Lytechinus pictus: one gene and its partners. The protein of the gene in region 1 interacts with the protein of each later gene in a pairwise test. Links are inferred from orthologs where the notes say so. Each region holds a gene or a part of one and is shown in the gene's direction. Other genes may lie near its edges.

The links.
Region 2: the proteins of huntingtin-like (region 1) and coatomer subunit beta-like interact in binary tests that used the Homo sapiens proteins (3 or more experiments, as listed by UniProt). The link is inferred for Lytechinus pictus from reciprocal best matches to the Homo sapiens genes HTT and COPB1.
Region 3: the proteins of huntingtin-like (region 1) and 33 kDa inner dynein arm light chain, axonemal interact in binary tests that used the Homo sapiens proteins (3 or more experiments, as listed by UniProt). The link is inferred for Lytechinus pictus from reciprocal best matches to the Homo sapiens genes HTT and DNALI1.

The regions. Positions count from the first base shown.
Region 1 is NC_087256.1:7,276,235-7,284,121, reverse strand, and holds the start of huntingtin-like, read left to right. Parts: upstream 1-4,670; 5' UTR 4,671-4,777; coding exon 4,778-4,899; intron 4,900-7,887.
Region 2 is NC_087263.1:10,345,660-10,353,501, forward strand, and holds the start of coatomer subunit beta-like, read left to right. Parts: upstream 1-4,680; 5' UTR 4,681-4,788; intron 4,789-7,842. Other genes in the region: inner centromere protein A-like, read right to left, coding at 31-138, 1,740-1,882. UniProt on the Homo sapiens protein: The coatomer is a cytosolic protein complex that binds to dilysine motifs and reversibly associates with Golgi non-clathrin-coated vesicles, which further mediate biosynthetic protein transport from the ER, via the Golgi up to the trans Golgi network.
Region 3 is NC_087245.1:30,453,775-30,461,261, reverse strand, and holds the start of 33 kDa inner dynein arm light chain, axonemal, read left to right. Parts: upstream 1-4,325; 5' UTR 4,326-4,489; coding exon 4,490-4,570; intron 4,571-7,487. UniProt on the Homo sapiens protein: Involved in sperm flagellum assembly.

The DNA.
Region 1 (7,887 bases):
GATGTTCAGTTATATACCTGATTAATGTTAATATATCCAGTTTCATTAACTAGGTCCATATACTTTCTAAATTATGATGACATTTCAAAAACTTAACCTTGGTTATGATTTCAATGTTGACGACGCCGAGTCCGCAGCCGTCTGAAAAGCGGTGCCTATAGTCTCGCTCTAGCTGTTACGCTGGCAAGACAAAAACAAGAAATAAGAGCGAAAGAGAAAGGAAGAATAAAGGGTGAAGAGTGAGAAGAGAGCCGGGGAAGAGAGTAGGAATTGGAACGAAGACATGAGAGACAGGGGAAGACAGCAGAAGCATCCTACTCGAGCTGTAAAGTGCTCTAGAAACAGGATTTTCACTCTTCAATTTGTTCAAGATTTTCTCACATGGTAACTGTTAGTCATAACATTAGGTCATTAGTATGGAAGCTTAAAAGTGCCACCCTGATGTTCATTACAATCATCCCTTCTAAATCATTTAGACATGACGAGATCCGAGATCTTGCCATCATATCATCTCTTCTAAAATATTTAGACATGACGAGATCCGAGATCTTGCCATCTGATCATCTCTTCTAAAAGATGTAGACATGACGAGATCCAAGATCTTGCCATCTGATCATCTCTCACACAGGATGTAGACATGACGAGATCCAAGATCTTGCCATCTGAACATCTATCCCACAGGATGTAGCCATGACGAAACCATCTGATCATCTTTTCTATAAGATGAAGACATGACAAAATCAAGAATCTTGTCATCTGATCATCTCTCACACGAGATGTAAACATGACGAGATGATTATATGAACATCTGGATGGCACTTTTAACCTTCCATACATTAGGCCTATATAAAAATCCAACTTTATCTCGCGCTTCGCGCTCGCAGTGGCTGTTGCGTATAATAATAAGCGATCTACTCAATGGGGCTTAAAATATCAAATTTTCAAGTCAATCTGCACAAATCATTCTTCTCTTTATTTGATTTTTGCAAGATACACATCCTGTTCTAAAGTGCTAAATGAAAAAATATCAGCTTGCGCTAGGCGCACCCATCAGTTGTTTAATTAGATACCCACCCTGTTCGTGGTTTTAAAAATGTGCTTAGAACGTTAGTTATCAACTCGGAATATTAAAAAAAAATCAGCTCGCGCTTTGCGCTCCTATTATTTGTTTGTTGAGACATCCTTTTTCATAAGTCACTGCAAACAGTCCTTAACAGGTATCTTTTTAAGTCAATGAATAAAAATAAAAAATAAAAATCAGCGCGCGCTCCGTTCTCGAATATACAAAAACTGCGCAGAATGTTCAATTTTCGGGTCTAATTAATACATAAAATATTTTTGAAAGAATTGAGCTCAGCTCGCTGCGCATTATTCATTTAGGCCATGCGAGATACATTATCTTGTTTGTAACTATAAACTATGCTAATCTCCAGTCTTAGTTAGGACCATGGCCCTGGGAAGCGGGGCCGCTGGGGGTGATGCGTGTATTATTTTCCATATAGGCAGCACCCCCTGGTATTGGAAGGTGAGACGAAATTGAAAAATGTAACAAAAATTACCTAAATTTTGTACAGACCCTCACCCTAGCTTTTTTTTTTGGGGGGGGGGGGGGGTTGTCAAATTTCTGCGGACTCAAATTACTTTCATTTTGTAGTATTTTTTTTTGCTTGTCAAATTTACATCAGCACCCCCAATCAAATAATCGTTCCCATGACCCTGGTTAGGACTCCCCATTCTATAAAACATAAACAAAACTTAGCTTCTAGGGGGTGATCGGGGATATAATGTGCATGAAAATAGTTTTACTCCCTCTTTCCTATTGAGTATTGGCAGTCGAAATCCCGCTTTATAAACTGTAATAGAAACGCCTATGTGTGATCTGCCCCTGGACTCCTCGATCCATACCCCAAAATGTGATTCCAAGCACCCAAGTCACTAAAACTCGCTCTTCACACTTGATTCTGTGAAATACGCAACAACAAAACAAATCCCTTCTTCCCCCATACTTTTCGTTTGCCCTTAGTCCCCCCAGTTTATAAATCCTGATGCCGCCACTGTAAAAATGATTCACATCTCACTATAATCAAATAATGAGAGCGCGAAGCACAAGCTGTTGGTTTTTTTTTCATATTCCGACCTGAAAACTAGGTACTTTTTGTAACCATGAAATGTACAGGTATACCATTTATGCGGACGCGAAAAAAAACCCTGTTGAACAAAATATACGAGCTCGAAGCCCTAGCTATTTGGTTTTTAGATTTTAATCTAAAAATGGGACATTCCGCTATGCACTTTTTGTAATCATGAAAGGATTGTATCTAACTAGATAATAATAGCGCGAAGCCAGAGTGTGTTTTTTATGTGTTGAAACGAAAGAATCTAAACATTTAAACACTGTTTAACATGCAGGAAAATTGTGAAGAGGATATGGAACTCACATGATGCGAGCGCGAAGCGCTGGTTGAAAATTTTAGCCGATTTATACCTATAAACGGGACATTTTAAGTACGTTTTGTAATCATGAACAGGATGCTTATCTTCAATGCCGTGAATGCAAAGCGCGAGGCTGCTAGCTTTAATTAAATACTTGATGTTAATGATCTGAAAAGGGACCATTCAATGGCATTCAGGAATTTTAATCAAAAGGATATTCGTATCGCATTAAAATGAGAGCGCCTCAGGCTCATGCAAGGCCCAGTACTGGCGAGGCCGCAAGCTGACTCATTTCTAGTCCAGACATTATTTTATGTAATTATGAACTAGATGCGTATCACACTCAAACAAAATAATGAAAACTCGAATCTCGAGCAGAATAATTTGTAATTATTGACTTGAAAACGTGATACTTTTCGGCCTCATAATCCCTCATAATATCCTCTTGAGCAGATTACTGTCTCACTCTAAAGGCATTGCGAGCGCGAAGCGCGAGCGAAAATTTTATGTTTATATGACTCAATTAAAAAAAATCCTTTCCTCCCCCTCTCTCCTTCGTTTTTTCAATTTTCCCCCTTTTTTCCTCTTTTTTTGCTTTACTAACTCAGGGGGGGGGGGCGCTTCGGCCCTCTGTGTCCGTCTATATGTAAGAATTGAGTAGATAAGGATAGAAAATGATATGATGAACATGATACAATACATGGCCACATGGCCCCCAGTCCCAACACTTTTATCCTTTAGTTGTTCTATCCTGGACCGGAAAGCTGTGGGTATTTCAAACTTAACATTGGATTTGACAAAGTTACGAGGATTTATACAATTTACTGAGGCGAACTTGAAAGTCCTATAGGAAAAAAGAATAGAACACGAACCTTTACATATTAATTTTTTGTTGCAGTACAACATAATGGACAAAAGTAAAACACCATGGGTCTCATTTTGACTGTGGAACGCCGCCATTCATTTAACAGTTTATAGAAAATACACAGCATCAATCAAGGTCTTGAAATTCAATAACCATCTCTCTTCCAGACCTTTCCTATATACCACATTGAATTTTCATACTATTGTGATATCCATAAAGGAAAATACCAATAATTTAAGAATGTGGTAGGACACCATTTTTTCATAGCGTTAAGTTGATCTTTGCATAATATAGTTAACTATTCAAGAAATGAATTTGTGTTCTACATTGTGAGGAGCTAGCTATTCCATCTATGTCAGAAATCGAAACAAGTTTGATTAATTTTTTAAAATACACATGTAGATAGATAGATGTTTCTCATGTCCACATAAATTTACATGTATGTTTTTATTGAAATTCACCGAATATCACAGGCAAATAAATAATGGGATCACTGTGCGATTCTCATAAAATAATACAATTTTAATGAAATGTATAGGGCTAATTGATAAAATAATAATACCAAATTTAATTTTCTTGAATATAGATAGACAATTAGATGGTTTAAGAAGTTCGTTGTGTCAAGAGCCGAAATGTGATGGATACAAACGGCAATTATTGATACTTAATCCAGCTGGTCTATATGATATCATTTGATCTTTAAAAAATACTAAGATTAGTAAGTAACGTATAATTTTGTTGTGATTTATGTCCAAAAGTCTAAAAATTAGCAAGTGTTTGTTGTGTCTCAATATCACACAGCTGAATTCCTTTTTTTTTTTGGGGGGGGAATAATAATACCAAAATTAATTTTCTTGAATATAGATAGACAATTAGATGGTTTAAAAAGATCGTTGTGTCAAGAGCCGAAATGTGATGGATACAAACGGCAATTATTGATACTTAATCCAGCTGGTCTATATGATATTATTTGATCATAAAAAATACTTAGATTTTAGTAAGTAACGTATAATTTTGTTTTGATTTATGTCCAAAAGTCTAAAAATTAGCAAGTGTTTGTTGTGTCTCAATATCACACAGCTGAATTCCTTCTTCTTTTTTTTTTTTGGGGGGGGGGGGGATTTTTGCGAGACCTAGAATGATGTTCACGCCCCTTAGGGGTTAACAAGTACAGAGAGCACATGCCCATTTTTTTTCTCTAGGTGATTATACTCCATACCTCTATCTATGATATAGTCCCACTATCTAAGTTATGTTTAAAGAAAAGAAAATTACTTTAGTTTTTATGTAAAACTGAGACCTCAGCTTGCTTTTTATATCTTCATTTATTTCACCAAATTTGCATGAACAAAATGCGAAGCAGATATCTGCCGCCCTCTTACGTTTAAAGATGACTAGCTTTTGGATTACCGTGAATTCGCCTGCGATGATGGTGGAAATTTCAAGATAATTCGTGAATTCTGACTACAACCGGTCATCATGAATCGAGCGGTCAGTGTATCAAACATGGAGAAGCTGGCCAGGTCCTTTGAGGCCTTGAAAAATCACCAGCAGAGCTCGACATCAGTCGACGATACGACGAGCACTGGCAAAGATGCAAAGTGAGTATCGAGAATCACTCCCACTGACTCACCTGACTGTCACTGCACTGTGTGCACTGTGATTGAATGGAGATTGTGAATGTGTGAGGGGGGATCAATTGAATGGCAGAATGCACAATGAATGCAAATTGCAATATGTAGGCGTGACTGTCATGACTGTGACTGTGTGAGCCTTGTGTCTTTGTGAGACAGTGTATGAAATGATTTTGCACTAGCTTGTGCCTAGCCAGGAGTAAAAATCATTAACTAAATTAAATATTCTCCACGACTACGGGCTCGCGGAGCCAGGAATTGTGCCCATCATGTGCGTAGTATAAGTAGGACGATCAAAGTTGCAACTTTCGCCCCCGAGATTTCTACCTTGTAAAAGTTCTTGCCCTAAATCATGTAAATGGGCTAGAACTTCATTTCCAATAATTATGCATTATTGATTACATTTTTAAAACAATGTAAATTAAAAAAACAAAACAAATTTATTATGAGAAGATTGGATGTAACGTACCGATGTTTACGTTGCCATCTTGCCCTCTTTGTTTGTAGCTAAGCTACGACACGCAGCAGCACAATATCATGTCGCCCTCTATATGCGTGTCATATACATTTCAATTTGTTTATATTCATTCAAAATTTAAAACAATATATACAAGGTAAACAAATTTATAATGAAATAAAATGCAGAGACAGCTTAAAGTGATCATTTCACTTTGTTCTGATTTAAAAAATTCTCCTTTTGGTTCCTGAAAATGGGCTAAACATTAGGCTTATAGTGTAAAAATACCATCCCAAAAGTTTCAAAGTATTATATTTACAGGATCAATTTTAAAACCTTGGAGATGTAAACCAAAGTTTGAAATAATTGGGAGTTGGTTTCAATGACTATGTGTATACAGGGAATCTGTGCACCACAACACATTAATTCTAGATGAACACAGCATGACCTACATACAGTGTGTACAAGGTATACACTGAATGTACAGTACAGCTAATAGTGTGTGTATAGAAGATACACACAACAGAAGGCAGGCAAAATAGCCAACAGACTTTTTGAATTGGAGAAAACTGGTCATAAGCTGAACCCGTCTACTAGACGGTTCTCAAAATCAGGCTAATAAATTGCTACTTGTATCTAAATTAGAGTTTTTCATCCTATATTGTGGTCTGTTTCAGGGTTTTTGAGGACAAATACAGGCACTCATACGCACGTTTCAACTCAGTTTGAGAATTTTTTAAATCAGCTGCTCACAAAGTTAAACGATCCCTTTAATATAACAATGTCTTATAATGCTGCCACCAATATTTTCCATCAATTGTAGGGTGGCCTAGGGCTAACATTTAGGCATGGTCTATCCAAAAAGAGTTGTACAACATACACGTGTTCACCCCCTGCTTGCCTGTATAGATCTGCCCTGAGCCAGATCACGATTTTAACCTTGGGGGTTTATTTTGCATACATGTCTACATACTTGGTTTGCATGGCAAAGAGAAATAATGAATATTCTAATAAGCACAGACAACCAATAAAATAATTTATGAATATACATAGAACATGAAATATGAATAGCTGCTACTGAATATTCAAGGCTCCACATTAACTTTTTTCGGTGGTGGCCCGTTCAGGCCACCAAAACCTTCAAATAATTTTTTTTGGTGGCCCGATATTGAAGTTTGGTGGCCCGGAAAATATAAAGCAAAAAACATTAAACATTCTGAAAGATTAATTCTGCAGCCACTACCACTAAGTTACTTTCACTTTGTACATCTTGTGTGTAAACCTTGTTTGCTGTATTTTACTTTGCTAATTGATTTGTGGTAAAATATAGATTGTTCTAACTTCTATCATTTATATGAAATGATTGAAAGAGAATAAATGAATTGTGTGGACTTTAAAAAAAATCTCCGTATAGACACAGATTCATAATGGAAAAGTAAATAAATACTGCATAGCAAACTCAGATAGATGTACAAAACAATGATTTTTCCTTTCTTCCTCTTTGAATCCTAAAATCTAGATTATGGAGGCCCCAAATCCAGTTAATTTTTTTCTCTTTTGCATCATATTATAGCAGGAGAAAATCACAGAAAAATATGCTGCAAAATTAGAACAATGCATAAAAGGGGGAAACAAACAAAAATAATTTTCAAAAAGTATATTACAAAAAGGAAACAATAATAATAAAAGAAATAAGTGAAATAAAACAAAAGAAAGAAAATGAAGAAAAAACAAAGAACAGGAAAAAATTAAAAGAAAAAGAGAAAAAAGATTTAGACTATAAAATAAACAAAAGAAAATAAAAGAAAAATGAATCAAACAAAATTTATATAAAAATGGGGGAAAGGAGGAAAAATTAAGAAGCCATTACAAATATTTTTTAACAGTCTATTCTGACTGGAATATAATTAAAAGCCAAGCAAATAATTTTCACTTATCTTTTGGTAATGGCGCATTTCTATTTTTATATCCTTTAGTTTGCATTATTTTTTAGTAGAAACATTCTTTAATCAGGCTTATTCAATGGGAAGGGGCATAAAAAAATGAAAGAAAAAAAAAGAAAATGACATAAGTTATATATCCTGGAAGAAAAAAGTGTGAGAAAAGTCATTCCCTATATTTGCCAAAATGTTGGAAAAATTCACATTTCATATTAATGAAATGACTTCCCAAAGTATTTACTTTCTCAAGAGTGGTTTAAGAAGTCATGTATAAACAAGAAAGAAAGAAACTGTTTATTTTTGGCTAGAAAAGACACAGCTCCGAAAGAAACAAAGTATCAACATACATACAAATGCACACATGGGACTGTGATGTACTCACCTATGGGTTTTTATGTGTATTAATTCATTTGGAAATCGGTCTTTTTGAGTCAAAAGAGAGGTCATAATTCCTCTTTTTAATGCTTGCAAATAATCAGGGTACACCAGATTTTTAGTAATATGGACTGTAGAAGGGCATTTCATTGGTGTAAAATGTGACTTTGACTAAGATTTTCA
Region 2 (7,842 bases), on another chromosome or scaffold:
AAAAACTTGCGACTTTTGTGACTTTCTTACCTTTTAGATGGTATAGTTTCCTCAACTGAACTCCTCCGAGCAACACGTCGACCTTTACGCGTTCTATTCTTGACAGCAGGGGTCTTCGGTAGGAGTATGGCATCATCCCTATAGTTGGAAGCAAGAAGTTAAAAGCATTGATTAAACTATGATTTTGACTCAAATTTAAAAAACCTGCAAATATCAATTTGTCACCTGTGGTTTGTTGTAAATACAAAGCCCCCCAAAAAAATATTGTTAATGAAAATCGTTATTCAGTCATTCAGTGCACTTCAAAAAGTAACAGGAAAAACCTCCACCAGGGGCCCGTTGCAGAAAGAGTTGCGATCATCAAATGCAACTCAAAATATCTTGCGCTAATTGATTTTCAGCCAATTAAGCACCCATATTCGGGACTTGCGCTTGATATTTTGACTTGCGTTTAAAGTTAAACACAACTCTTTCTGCAAAATGCCCCAGAAAATCGAGTACGTTTATTTGAAACATGTGCATTCAGAATCATCAGACACACCCTCTCCTAAAGGACAATTATATTCAGTCATGGTGAGGTGAACCATTGAAAAGTTATGACATCAGGTGGGTGTTTCATAAAGCTGTTCGTAAGATACGAATGACTTTAAGATCGACTGGTGATCCTTTCTTGTGCTATGTGATATCTCTATGTAATTGATTATGACCTATTAAAGAGAAATTCCAGTAGTTGCAGTAAACACTGATTTCATGAGAAAGTCTGTAAAACCAGGCTTAATTGTCAGTATATCATCGAGGATCTAGATCTGGTACAGTTACATAAACTGAACTTTGTGAAATCTTGAAATCTACGCTGAAAAATGTTCAGACTGAACTTCCCCAACACAGATAAGTGCACGTGGGACAGTGTATAATTATTGCTTTGAGCGTCGGGCCCGACGCTCTACCCGAATCCTGTGCTTATTTGCTGATTTCTCAGCAATTACACAATTTCTTCCAGAATCCTTTGGCACATGCGTTTTATTTATACAAACAGATACTTTGGTGGTCATTTCATTGGATTCTGTACGAACTCATTTTGATATCGTTACCAAAACTAGCATTTACCTTAAAGAACATGTTTCAGTCGTGCATAAAGTCGTTCGTAACTTTACGAACATCTTTATGAAACATCCACCAGGTGGGTATTTCGTAAAGCTGTTCGTAAGTTAAGAGCGACTTTAAGAACGACTGGTTCATTGGCGATGGTTTGACACGTAAGAAAGGTTCACCAGTCATTCTTGAAGTCGCTCAACTAAATTACTCTTAACTTATGAACAGCTTTATGAAACGGCCCCTAGGTGGGTGTTTCATAAAAAAAGCTGTTCGTAAGATAAGAGTGACTGGTGATCCTTTCTTTTGGTAAATGGTATACACCATTGGCGATGGTTTAGCACGTAAGAAAGGTTCACCAGTCGTTCTTAAAGTCGCTCTTAACTTACGAACAGCTTTACGAAATGGCCCCCTGGACCGGCTGCTCACATACATGCATTTGTCAGGTTGTGAATTCAAAACTTTATAACATCACAAGTTCACAACTCTCATTCGCGTGTAGATATCAATCATTCTCTGGCAGATATTCGGCAAGCTTTCATCAATTCTTTTCTGTGTTTTTTTTTTCTTTTATCATACATCACCTATATCATCATTTAGAGTGAGATGAGATTACACTGAAACCACGATCAAGGAGAATCGCCTACCTTCCAAAGTTCTCCTTGGCAGTTATCAACACCTCTTCTAGATACTTCATGTGCTTGGATTCAAACTCGTGGAGGAATTGCCGGATGTGTGCCTCTGCATCATGGTATATATTGAACCCCAGGAGGGGTTGATCACCAGCCATTGTTGTAGTTTAATTATTATTCTGATGGACTAACCTGTGGGGGAAAAACAAATCATTACCATTTTGGGGTAATTCCAAGCAAGTCAAATCAAATCAAACCAATTTAATTATTGACTCCAAATGTGCCCATTTGATTAATTGATAGTCTATGGCAAAAGCTGACATTTTCACTGTAAGCAGTTTGCCTTTAATACGGATCTACAAGTACAAATGCATTTTGTTCGATACCATCCACCATTTGTCTCATCCACCAGCGCTAACATCTAGCCACCTAACTAGCCAACAAAACAATTTGAATTACTTAGCAGTTTTTCTACCTTTGACTTTGAGTTCTCAACACCAAGTGTCTACCGAGGAGATAGACCAAAAGCTTCGGTCTCTTTTATGTTGGTTGTTCCGCTGAACTCTGTTGGCTCCACTCACCAAATACAGAGACCGAAGTTCTAGCTTGATCTGTACAGGGACTCAATGGCCATATGTTAATGTATTAAGTTCGGATAAAACAGGGATTGAAGTTGCGCGACAGCTGAAGTAAGTCACTGTTTTTTCCCCTTTTAAGTTTATTTTTCCCCGTTTTGGTGCATTTCAGGCTATAAAGGCATGATAATCTTTATTTTGGTACAGTTCTTTTTATATATTTTTATGAAATAAAGACAAAAATTGATGAGCCCCGTCGGGGGAATTTTGCATTGTTAACCCCCTAATGGTGGCTGCACGATAGCGAGTCGTCTGTGTACGAGGAGAAATTTAAAAAAAAAAATGTTTAAAAACTCCTCGAAACAGACGGCTGCCAGCTGTCTACCGAGGAGACTACTAATGTAGGGCGTGAAACAGGCCCAAAATGAACAACAACAACATCCACAACGAGCTTTTGACCTCAATGAGACAAAAATTCTTTGTTTTGCACCCAACTTAAAGGACGATACGCGCGGGGGAGTAGGCGCAGTGTCCATATGAACAAGAATCGATTTACGAGAGAAAAAGGGGGAAAAGATACAAATTTAGTAAGAATTCATCAAAATTGTTTTGACTAGACCCGAACCCCGCCGAAAAACGGTTGTTCATACGGGGCAAGAAATCCGATAGGAAACGGCTTTAGAACAAATGTCCGTCGTCAATCGTCGAATCATGTGCCGGAGCTCGCAGTGGAAGTACATATGACAAACGATTCATCAATGATATAATGTTGTGAAACCTCTGTACTTGTCATCTCATAAAGAAAACACCTAACCTTGTGATAGACTCTATAAAAGTGAGAATAAAAGTGAAATAAGTACTAAAGTAATGAGGGAGTTGTACGTGTGTGATATCACAGATCTTGGTCGCATTGCCGATGAGAGGATCTACATGGCACTAGTGATCTCAATATTCAAATGCTCATAACTTTCTTATTATTCATTCAATCTTCCTCAAACTTTCAACAATATGTTTCTTTGATTTTTCTCTTTGATATGGATTCAGCTAGTTTCAAGGGTTTCATTCTCCTTTAAATGATTTTTACTCTCTAGAAGCCGCCTGGCTACTTTTGACCTCAGTGAGACAAAATTTTGGGTGGAAAAAATCATGCTTTTGTTGGTGTTGTTTCATTTGTCCTTTTGCAAAGCAAGTCTCCAATGTGGGAGATTGTCTCCCCTATTGGAGAGAGTCTCCCATATTGGCCGTGCGCCTCTACTGATGTAGTGAGACGATCAGTCGATCACTATACTATTTAGCATTTTGATATCAGACTCAGAGAACTGATTTGGATGAGTCAAAATATTTCGCCACTGTGACAAGAATCGGCCGTAAAGTGTATCGGGGGCGGTCGGTTTCAAAAGAAGGGTGCAAATGAGCAAATGTAAACTAAAATCGTCACATTCGTTGTTCGCCGATATATACGCGAATAGAATCGTTCAATCGGAGTCGTCGATCGAAGCATGGGAATCTGATCTGCTCAATTTTCTGCACAAATTAGACAAAATGTAGGTAAAACTGATAAATATTTTCGCAGATACGATGCTTAGGAAATTAGGTGGTCGATAAATTAAGGGGTAGGTCCAACCATTAAATCTGTATATTTAATCATGTCAAACGTATTGTATTTTAACTTAAGACATCATCATGGAGTCCTCAAACTAACAAGTAACTTATGTCTCCCTCCCTTCTGGTCTGGAGAGCTATATTAATAATTTATTATAAAAAAAGACATGATTAAGTCAAGTGATTAAATTACGGTCAATAATGAATATGACTAATCATTCTAATGACATGTGATACAAGTCTATACTATAGTCATGATAGTACAGTTAAATTATCAATTATCTGCTCAACAAAGTTAATCATAATATATATGAGTCTACTCATATTTTCTGAGGTCAAAACCAGATTTCAACACTGAAAATAAATTGAAATCACCCTTTGGCATTGATGTAAACACGCCAGTCGCCACACACACATTCCATTGTTAATGAATGGACACACAACACCGACGATTCAGTCAGCTCAGTCAGTCAGTGACTGAACACTGCACAACACCGAATGAAATTTCTTCGTCATTGAAGTACATCTTACAAGGAAAATTATAATCATGGGTATTCATATTTTTAAGACATCGAATTTTATAAATTTGTAATAATATACTCACCGTATGATATTACAACATCGAAAAACAATGGGCATAACTCGATGTTTCACCGTACACTTGCATGACTCGACTTGCCGCGCGTGTGATGAATACGTTTCAAATCTAGTTGCGGAAAGAGAGCCAATCATAAGCCACGAAGTAAGTACGTCATATGCACACACTATATCGCGATCACCGTAGATGGCGCTGAAACGCCACGTTGGAATTTACCGATTGGAGATAAAACTGTGCGAGGAAAGGTTGTGAAGATCTACAAAAGAGTGATTTTGATTTACATTTTCGGGTAATGAGAGGATTGATGCTCATCATACATAATTTGTATTTATTTATGTATCACTTTTAAACATTTCTAGTCTATATCTTTAGCATGTTATACCATAAAAATTGTGATCATTTACCACTTGATTCACTTAACCCGGGCCTAGGTAGACTCGTAGGCAAGGGGGTAGTATTGCCTAATGCGTGCGATTTAGCATGCACGCGATTGAATGGCGGAAAACCATAATTCCATGATGCATACACTTGAAATGCACACGAGCCAAATCACTGACCCTTTTGTGCAATGCTGCAATCTTTATTTTAATGGTGGTCGCCTATTTTTTAAAGATTTTTTATATATTTATTCCAATGGCCTTTTGAAATTTTCTCCTGTGACTGGGAGTGTATGTGGACTATTTGCAGCTTAATGGCAATGTTTTATGAGATAGATTAGACTTGTCTTTTTGACTTTTGAAAGTTTTGTATTGAATTTGGGTAGGCCTAGGGCCCCTATTTTTCTAGCCCTAGCCCTAGGCCTAAATTCTAAAAAAGTTAGATCTATCCTGTATCCAATTTCAGAGACAGTCTCCAGTTTGGGAGACCAATTTCCTTTGTTTACATTTGCTGCAAAAGGATTACATTGTCATTGGCAGCAAATAAAATGTGATAAGCAGATTCCTCATGAACAATTACCCCTTTTCACCCTCATGAGTCCCGTCTGGCATCTAGTCTACTTTAAAAATTCACCGTCTAATTTGATAAGGATTTTTGTTGTCATACACACACAAAACAAATGGGCTTCTGACTAGCCAGGACTGGCAGGAGTAGCCAGGGGCCTGTTGCATGAAAGGGTCTTTGGTAGAACCATTCTACGTAAGAACGAGATATCGCTCAACTGTTTCACAAAGCCGATTTGGGCGATACGAAGAATGGTCCTTGGAAAGACACCTCCAGACATGTCCTACGTAGGCATGATCTCATTTGCACACCGCCCGCCACCGTCGGCATTGAGAGAAAATGCATTTACGGCAAGCCACACTGACATATCACCTCTAAACATTTTTTTGGTTGCACTCTGATGCATTTTATCTGGGATGGCGCCAAGTTATTTTTTATATGGGGTCTAGTTGTCATCAATTTCAGGTCATCTTTTTGCACGGCAGGACGACCAAAAACGGATGTCATTTTAACTTCTCCGGGGTACATGTATTATTCCCGGGGGTAACTAGGGCCAAATATTTTTTTAAATATGTTTTCTTCTATTCTCCCTCCGTCTTATCCCCACCCCTTTTCTATTAAAAAATAAACTTGAAATACTTGAAATGGGCGGCACTATATCTCTTTAGCCGACCCCTCATGCTTTCTCATTATAGATAAACAACAAATTTCTTTAAAAGAAATTATGTAAGGTAAAAAACGTGTTCAATAACATTCAGCAAAAAAAAACAAGACAAACTAAACTAAGATGTTAAACATGCTAAATCATTTATTTATTTTTATTTTATTTTCATTATAATTATTGTTTTTTTGCTGAGATTTATTTTAATCAATGAAAATTAATTGTTGGATTTGAAACAGTGAAACAAAACAAAAAACCTGCAGCTAATATTGAATTTAAGATACAGATCAAGCCTATAGCTTACGAATCCATCACAACCATTACAAATGAAGATAAGTTCATTAAAGAAAAGATTATGGAAAGTCCATACGAAGAGGCGCATTTTAAATCTTAGGGTAGGCCCCTTTCGGCCCTTATGTCATAGCATATAATCTCTATACTCCTTAACTTTGAAATTTTGAACATATATATTTTTATGTTATTTCTTAAACCTTATATTCTTATATAAACTTCCATAAATTAAGTGATCATCTTTAAATATGACCAGCGTTTATGATCGTTGTCATATTTAGCATTATTTCTGTAAAAGTATTTTTTCCATTGCGAATTGATTCACACCTTTTTCAATGTTTTAATTATTATTGCAAAGTACTATATACTTTATCCACTTGGACATGTTTGCAGCAATTTTCATATTTTCATTTTCTTCTGTTACTCATCATGCAACTGAGGTATGTTTATACTCTAAACACTCACATTTGTATTTCTTGCGTTATATCTGACAAATAAAATAAATAAATTAGATTTTTCACACGCAGCCTCTCATATTTTCCTTTTTAGTCTCATACAATCAGACACTGTTGATTTTGTTTACTCCATTTAAACCCTATATTTACCTCAACAAATAACATATTAACGCATAATTTATAAAATTATCATTATATACAAGTATTCTATAAAAATACAGAATATTGAACTAATAAATGTCGAAATTACTTAGTTAAATCAATTTTTATGTCGGACAAGGGTCTCTTTCGTTGAAATATCAATAAAAGGTGTCTCTAAAAAGACACCGTGTTCTAAATAAGGGAAATAATGAAAATTTCGATTTTATTTAGTTATGTTTGTGAATCTTTAAAGTTTTTTCTCTTTTAACCTCATAAAGTAAGCTCCATACATCAATTCTACTATCAGTAATAAATAAAACATTATTTTATCTCCTTTTATTGAAATATCGGATTTTATGTAAAGTCGTCATTCAGAAATAAAAGGTTCAGGTGACGATGAAGACTAAATATTTTTCCGATACTATCGATATCAAACGATGTCGCGGACTTGGAAGACAAAATTGCCTTCGTGAAACGGAAAGCGCTGATTTGTCGCCAATCTTCCTATCTCGGAAGAATGGTCCTAGGACGTTCCTACGTATCGCTCATCTCGTCATGCAACAGGCCCCAGGAGGCTTCTAAGTTAGAGAGTAAAAATCATTTACTAACGTAGGCTTACTCTCAATGAAGCCAGGTCTTCCTTCTCATTCACCTACACGAAGGACCCCAAAAAACCTGAAACTTTCACCCCCGAGATTTCTACTTTCCTTCAGATCTAGCCCTAAAATCATGTACTAGGGAGTGATGTACATGGGATTAAACTTCATTTCCGACATTTCTACGCTCTCGTTATTTTTAAACAAGAATTCATCAAAAAAAATGAGAAAAATATTGTGAAAAGACGGAAGAGACT
Region 3 (7,487 bases), on another chromosome or scaffold:
TGAAATTTCATGTTTTTTATCCTCAAAATTGAACATTCTGGGCAATGTTTGTGAACTTGAACAAGATGCGTATTTTACTAAAATTGCTGCGAGCGCGAAGGAGCAAAAAAAAAAGTAAGTAAGAAAAGAGAGAAATATACGTTCTGGCCTGATCGAAAAGGGACTTGCTAATGGCGGTTTACAGTTAGCCAAGAAAACGATGCATATTTCAATCAAAATAATGCGAGCGCAAAGCTCGAGCTAAAATGTTTGAAATTCTGACCATAAAAATGGACATTCCAAGCACTTTGTGTATGAACAGAACACAGTGGGAGCACGAAGCGTGAGCGGATAACAATTGAGATATATAGACCTAAAAGGAACACTATTTTATATTTATGTTTTCTAAATCGTGAAAAGGGTGGGTAATTGGTTACCGTCTTACATTATTTTATAATGCAAGAGCGAGAAGAATTTTTTTTATATTATAATCTGAAGCGAGATAATTTAAGCATGCTGTTTTCAATAAAGGATAAGCAGCCCGTCCTTCTCAATAAACATGCGTGTTCTAGAATTTGTGCATTCTTAATACACTTTTTACCACGGAAATCAATAATGCGAGCGCGAAGCGCGAACTGATAATATTGGATATTCCGATGTGAAAAGGTCAAATTAAGCACAATATAGGTGGTTTGAATAAAAATGAATAAAACGGCTATTTCGACTCTCCGTACGGCCGCCGCAGAGCAAATGTGACCGAGGTATAAATCAAAAAGAATAATGAAAGTTCAATGTCCTAGCTGACCGTACAGTATTTGTTTTGTATTTTGACTGCAAAGCTTAAATGTCAAGCTCATATATATCAGCCTATTGAGCAATATGTACTCATCGAAAATAAGCAATGCGAGTGCGAAGCGCGAGCGAAAATTTCAATTTTGCATGTTCTTTTAAATCATCAAAGCCTCCCCTCCCTAATTTTATTCACTTTTCTCCCTCCCTTTCCCCCTCTCTTTCCCTTCTGTTTCTTAATCTTCCTTTCTCCATTTTTTGGTCTTTAATCCGCCAACAGGGAAGGGGGGGATGACCCCCCCCCCCTGGATCCTTCTATGGTAGCGATGGGATGGGGAAAGCATTTGAATTATTCACCTCACAGTGTTAAACGGGGAAAATAGGAAATGGCTAAATTTTGAAAATCATTAATGTGGAGCCCTATTCAAGTTTAGTTTCATCTATATACACCTTGACGGGGGCTGATCCAGGATTTTCCAAAGTGGGGGCATTCAAGACCTAGTATGCTAAGAAAAAATCATTCCATACACAAAATTCCTGGGAAAAGTTGAAAAATAAGTCCTCACTTGAGAATGAACGACAAAATCCACTAACAAATATTTGATATATTACGGGAGGGGGCACCTTTATTTTTCTCCCCTTTCCTTATTCCTCATCCATTCCATAGGCAGATCCAGGTGCCGGACCCAATTATGGGCGGCGGCAACCCCTCCTACTGGCGGTGCGAAAATTAAAAAGGTAAAAATTGTAGCCCCCCCCCCCCATTAGCAAAATTTTGATCTACACCGGGTATTTGTCTGTCGTACCTCCCAGTAAATGAAATAACAAAAACAAAAAAAAAATCACCGTTGCACTAGTATTAAAATTTTTGCGAGTCTTTTTTTTTCAAATATTTTTGTTTATAATGGTATTCATTAATTATAATTATAGTGGAGGTTCGCATCCCGAGAATGTGAAATGAAAAAAAGAAAACAAAAATTGCACTGAACAGGAAACACTAAACGTCCTTTTCAATTCCAATTTACTCAAAGTCATTCAAATAAAAAAAATAAGCATCATTTTGTGATACCTTAACTTGTTCATCACGAATACAATGAAGCCGACAATTATTTGCTTTGTTTTGGATTAATCTTTATAATAATTCACTTCAAATAAAATTTATACATAAACAGGAAAATATCACAGAAAAAAAAATTAATTGCAGTTGTATAAAACATCATAGAAAATAACATGACAGATAAATTTTATCTCGACAGGCACACTGTTCATTCGATCATAAAACAATCACGCTGTTTCACTCCTTGTACACGCACATCTCTATCAGTGTTGTTTCATCTTCATCTGCCTCAATGGCAAGGACACCAGCATGATTCATTCACTTCAAATAAAATTCATACATACATATACAGGAAATATCAAAGAAAATAATATAACAAATCAATTGCAGTTGCATAAAACACGATAGAAAATAACATGGCAGATGAATTTTATCTCGACAGGCACACTGTTTCATTCGATCATGAAACGATCGCGCTGTTTCACTCATTGTACACGCGCAACTCTATCTGAATTGTATCATCTGTCCTCAATGCGGCAAACACCAGCAGTGCAGTGACGATAATAAGTTGCAGTTGCACGTGCGCGGAGAATGAATTAAATTCGGCGGCTGAGTAAAGTCTAGCGAGAAAGGTACGTCACCAGCGAACTTCACGATAGACCACGCCTACTTGCCGAGGTAACCAACGTTGATTGACGGCCCATTTTGTTTTTTGAGTAGTATGAAAAAGTGCAAGCATGTATAAACTTCATTTTAGTTTGAATTCATTAAAAAAAAACATTTTTCTTCTAATATAGATGTTTCAAACATATTCCATGTGGAAAACATAATTTTTAAAACATTTATTGCTATATATTTATCATGAAAAAAGGATTTCTTACGCAACAACAAGTATGATATGTGTGGGCAAGAGAACTACCGTTTTAGCCATAAAGCATATTTTTTATGATTTTATTGTGAGCCTACTCAAGGATTTTTGTTTATTTTTTATGAATTTCCAGACCAAGTTCAACAGCGCCGTCTCGAGCTTGCAATAACGCATGCGATCGCACGCATTTTTCTCCATAGCGAATACACGCGACGAAACTCTGTGGATTTCTCGTGGATTTAACCTCCAAACGTCACTTTCGATACCACATGAAGGTAAGACACTTCATCCCACATAAGTCAATTTTAATATAGAAAATACAGGGCCTAATTTTTTTCACTAAGATGAACTAATTTGCTGAGGAAAAGCATTTCAATGCTCATTTTTGCCGTCGAGAACAGACGATGGTGGCAATGCACACTGTTTACGCACTTGCAATTGGCTTTTCATTTGCCCATAGCAATTTTGCTCAGTGGATCGGCCGACCTTTTGGTAACTCTACTTGTAGCCAAAATTAACCTTGTTGGCAAAATTAACCTTGATAGCTAATGTAACCTTGAGAGCTAAAGCTCGTCTCTCTTATATTACTTGTACTTGATGCCCCCAAAAATTTCAACAAAATTAACCTTGTAGCCAAAATTAACCTTGTTGGCAAAATTAACCTTGATAGCTAATGTAACCTTGAGAGCTATAGCTCGTCTCTCTTAAATTACTTGCACTTGATGCCCCCAAAAATTTCAACAAAATTAACCTTGTAGCCAAAACTAACCTTGTTGGCAAAATTAACCTTGATAGCTAATGTAACCTTGAGAGCTAAAGCTCGTCTCTCTTATATTACTTGTACTTGATGCCCCCAAAAATTTCAACAAAATTAACCTTGTAGCCAAAATTAACCTTGTTGGCAAAATTAACCTTGATAGCTAATGTAACCTTGAGAGCTAAAGCTCGTCTCTCTTAGTCTTATATTACTTGTACTTGATGCCCCCAAAAATTTCAACAAAATTAACCTTGCAGCCAAAATTAACCTTGTTGGCAAAATTAACCTTGATAGCTAATGTAACCTTGAGAGCTAAAGCTTGTCTCTCTTATATTACTTGCACTTGATGCCCCCAATTACTTTATTTGTTGCGCGATCAACCGAACCACGCGCGGATGGATATCAACTCGCCGATGATAAACAGGGTCGGGTCGAGGATCCACGAATCAAGGTAAAAAGTTGATGTCCCCTGGGGGCATCAAGTACAATTATGCCATAGGTTGGACCAGTAGAAAAAAAAGGGTTAGTGTGGAGCCCTGCCTATAGGCTATACCGGCATGGTCCACACACCCGACGGCCGGAGCATCGTCGGGAGCGCCGACCAGCCCACGGCCACGCTGGCTAGCTTCGTCGGTTCCGTCGATCAACGACCCCGGCCACCTCCCCTGACCATCGATAAAAACGCGTTTACTACATTAAAAACAACCAAAATGTTTCCCAAATACGACTCAACATCACGCTAATTACACCCCTAACTAAAATATGTACATTAATTACAAAGAAATAACACGATCCAATTAACAAACAATAAAAATAGAGGAAAATTATCACACCTTGCCAGGTCATGGAAGTCGCCATCTTTGAGAATAATGCATGACGGGAAGACATAGCTGCTTGCGCAGCTGCATCATGGGAATTTGTTTCTATGGGTATCCCATGACAACAATCCATATCTTCGTTCGTGTTTGTATCAGAATTCTCTTCAAACCAACGGATTATCCCAATTTCTTTCGAATATTCATTTTTATAACTCGAAAAAATGATTCCACCAAATGCGTCACTAGTCAAATATGATAACCCTGTTCTTGTAAGCAGAAATACTGAGAAGAAAACACCTCGGGTAAGTTGTAAAGCAAAGGCAGCTGCAGCAAAAAAGTTTAGCAGCACCACTGCGCTGCTCTGAGCACATAACTGACCGAAAAGACGGCTGGACCTATCCGATAGCTAGCGCTGAGCGAGACCACTGTCAAACTGACTGCGGCTAGCGACTTAATTAGGCTATATAGTCATAGTGGCGGCGAAATATTTAACTTTATCGCTGAAACAAGCCTGATTTTTAGAGTTGTTCACGCTAGAAAGTATCTCTTTATGACTTTATCTACACGTATGCCATGGCAGTGATAATGAATGTATGATGGGGGGACCTAAAGCTACGCACTTTGTTTTCAAACAACAAAAACTATCCCAATTTTAAATTTAATATTTCAACAAATTATCTTTCACTAATTTGTGGCAAACATTATGAAGATCATTAACCAAGAAGAAAATATCGCAAAACTCACTAACACGAAAATCCCGCCATGTTTTCCGAACACCTCTTGATTTCGCCGCCCGATGTAGAAGGGGTCCTAAAGCTACGCACTCGATTTATCATGCAAAAAAATAGTATTTCCTGTGCCTCAATTTCTAAAATATATTCACATTATTATAGGATAAAATGAAATTAAAGCGAATATAACTCCAAAAATCCAAATAGTTGTTTGTTTTCTCTGCATTTAGAGATTTACTGCAACCTCTGTAGAAAAAATTGATTAGGAATCGTTCGTCAGATCTGCAGTCACAGTTCCACACACAGAGTGCGCATTTGCCATAAAAACTGCATGCGCTATGAGTGGTGCGTAGCTTTAGGACCCGCGCAGCTTTAGGACCCCCGACCATACTATGAATTATGATGGGGTGATCATAATTTGTGCACATGTTGATTTTAGTCTTACTCTTAGTCTTTAGAAATAATATACCGTATCACATGAAGCTAATTTTCAATCAAAAAATTCTAACACTCACAGTTCACACAAAAATTAATCAAAATCATAAATACCAAATGGAAGGCAAGATCCTAAAAGTCAAATTCGCTTGATGGAATTATAAAGTAGTCAAGGGCAGGGTTTTGCTGGTACCGTACTACCGACTAACATTACCGGTATAAATAAGTGGTAGGGTGTCTGGAGAAAATTTTTTTTTTTCTTATTTCAAGAAATATCACATTTTCTTTGTGAATTTGAATTGAAGAGAAATAACCTTCAGAATGACAACAATTATAACATTAAAAAAAAATCAAATTATTGGCTGCAAAAAAGGAGAATGATATTAGGTAAATTTTCAGCAAAGTTTCCCTGCCATAGACTGTAGTAAAGAAATGGACACACAAATCCAAATTTTTAGCTTCCGAGAGCTGTTAAAAATTTATTATTAATGCCAAAAACTTGTCTATAAAGTGTCTAATAGGAATTTTTATGTTCATTCTGATGGTATGATTTTTATAAAGATTTGGAAACCAGATCACAATGAAAAATTGCGACAAAGTGAAAAATTTGTGCAAAACAGAATTTCATTTCCCATAGAAAACGCATGGGGAAATGGCAATCTTAACACACACACAAATAAGGGTTTGCAATTTATCTCCAAAATCCTCATTTCAAATAATCCTATAAACTTGTCCTTACTGTCAAAAGAAGCCCCTGAATTTTCTCTTTCCATACATGCCAAACACAAGTTAATATTTAATTCAGATCACATTTTTATAGCAGCCTGAATTTCCAGAAAAAATGTGCCATATTTCCCCCTAAATCAGCCTGTTGGTGTTTTATGCTGACACTTTTCAGTGTGGCTTCAGACACCCTACTGGTATTGCGATCTCAAAATTCCATGGTGATCGACTAATGCACGCTCGGCTGAAAAAGTGTCATAAAAATGTGTGACCTTATTTTACGCGTGATCGTTTAGCAAAGCTTTAGAAAAGAAATAATGCAGACAAAGCCAAAGGAAAGATGATTGTATCAGATGGAGGTTAAAATGCCATAAACATGATAAATTCAGTTGGTATCACATTTTACCTTTTTTAAAAGACTGCTTGCAAACTGGTGATTTCTTGATGCTTGTCGAGAAGTTCGGATTTTCTCGGAGCGAACGCAAAAGGTAGCAAACTTTGCTGATGTTTTGCCAATTACCTTCAAGAAAATTACCATACTGAGTAATTTTGGGTGGCTTTTTGAAGTTTTTCTGTTAATTGGTGATATCAGTGTTTCAAGATATTGATTGGATGTTGAGATATTCTACCGTGCGCAATTTAGGTAATTATGCACAAATTAAGGTCACCACCACCATGTCAAGGAAGGTGTTCAGAATTTGTTGCTTCTAAGCTAACGTTAGATCCAAGTCAGATTAGTCTAGAGTCTGTCTTACTCTTAGTTTAGTAACTTAAGAAGGAACAAATTCTGAACACCGGCTTCACATTGCGTCGGCATTAGTGCATCCATCAGTGTTGGATAAATGGAGAAAGAAGTAATGGGGCATGTTTGTTTTTGTTTTTTTTAATGCGGACAGATTCCTAGGCATTTTTTTTTCAGCAAAAGAAGTAGATCTAACGTTAGACTCTATCCCCATTTATGAAGAGTTGAGTTTTGTTTCTGTCTAAATTTGTTTTTGTATTTTTGATTCCTTGGGCTCTGGGGAGTTAAAAGTACAGCTGCTTCTTCTAATAATCTCAGAGATCAACAGATGGTTGCTGCATAGATAAATCAATAATAATAATAATAACATTTGTATGGCGCTTTATACTGGTGTTTCAAAGCGCACAGGTTGGCAGATTATAATAATATACAGTCAATCCATTAAAAAAGAAAAAAGAAAACAAGTTATGAGAAAAGGTGAGTTTTAAGTGACTTGATTTGAAAGTGATTTGAAAATTTCCACGGAGGGAGCATTTTGGATATTTGTAGGGATTTTATTCCAGAGGGTGGGAGCAATTACAGAAAATG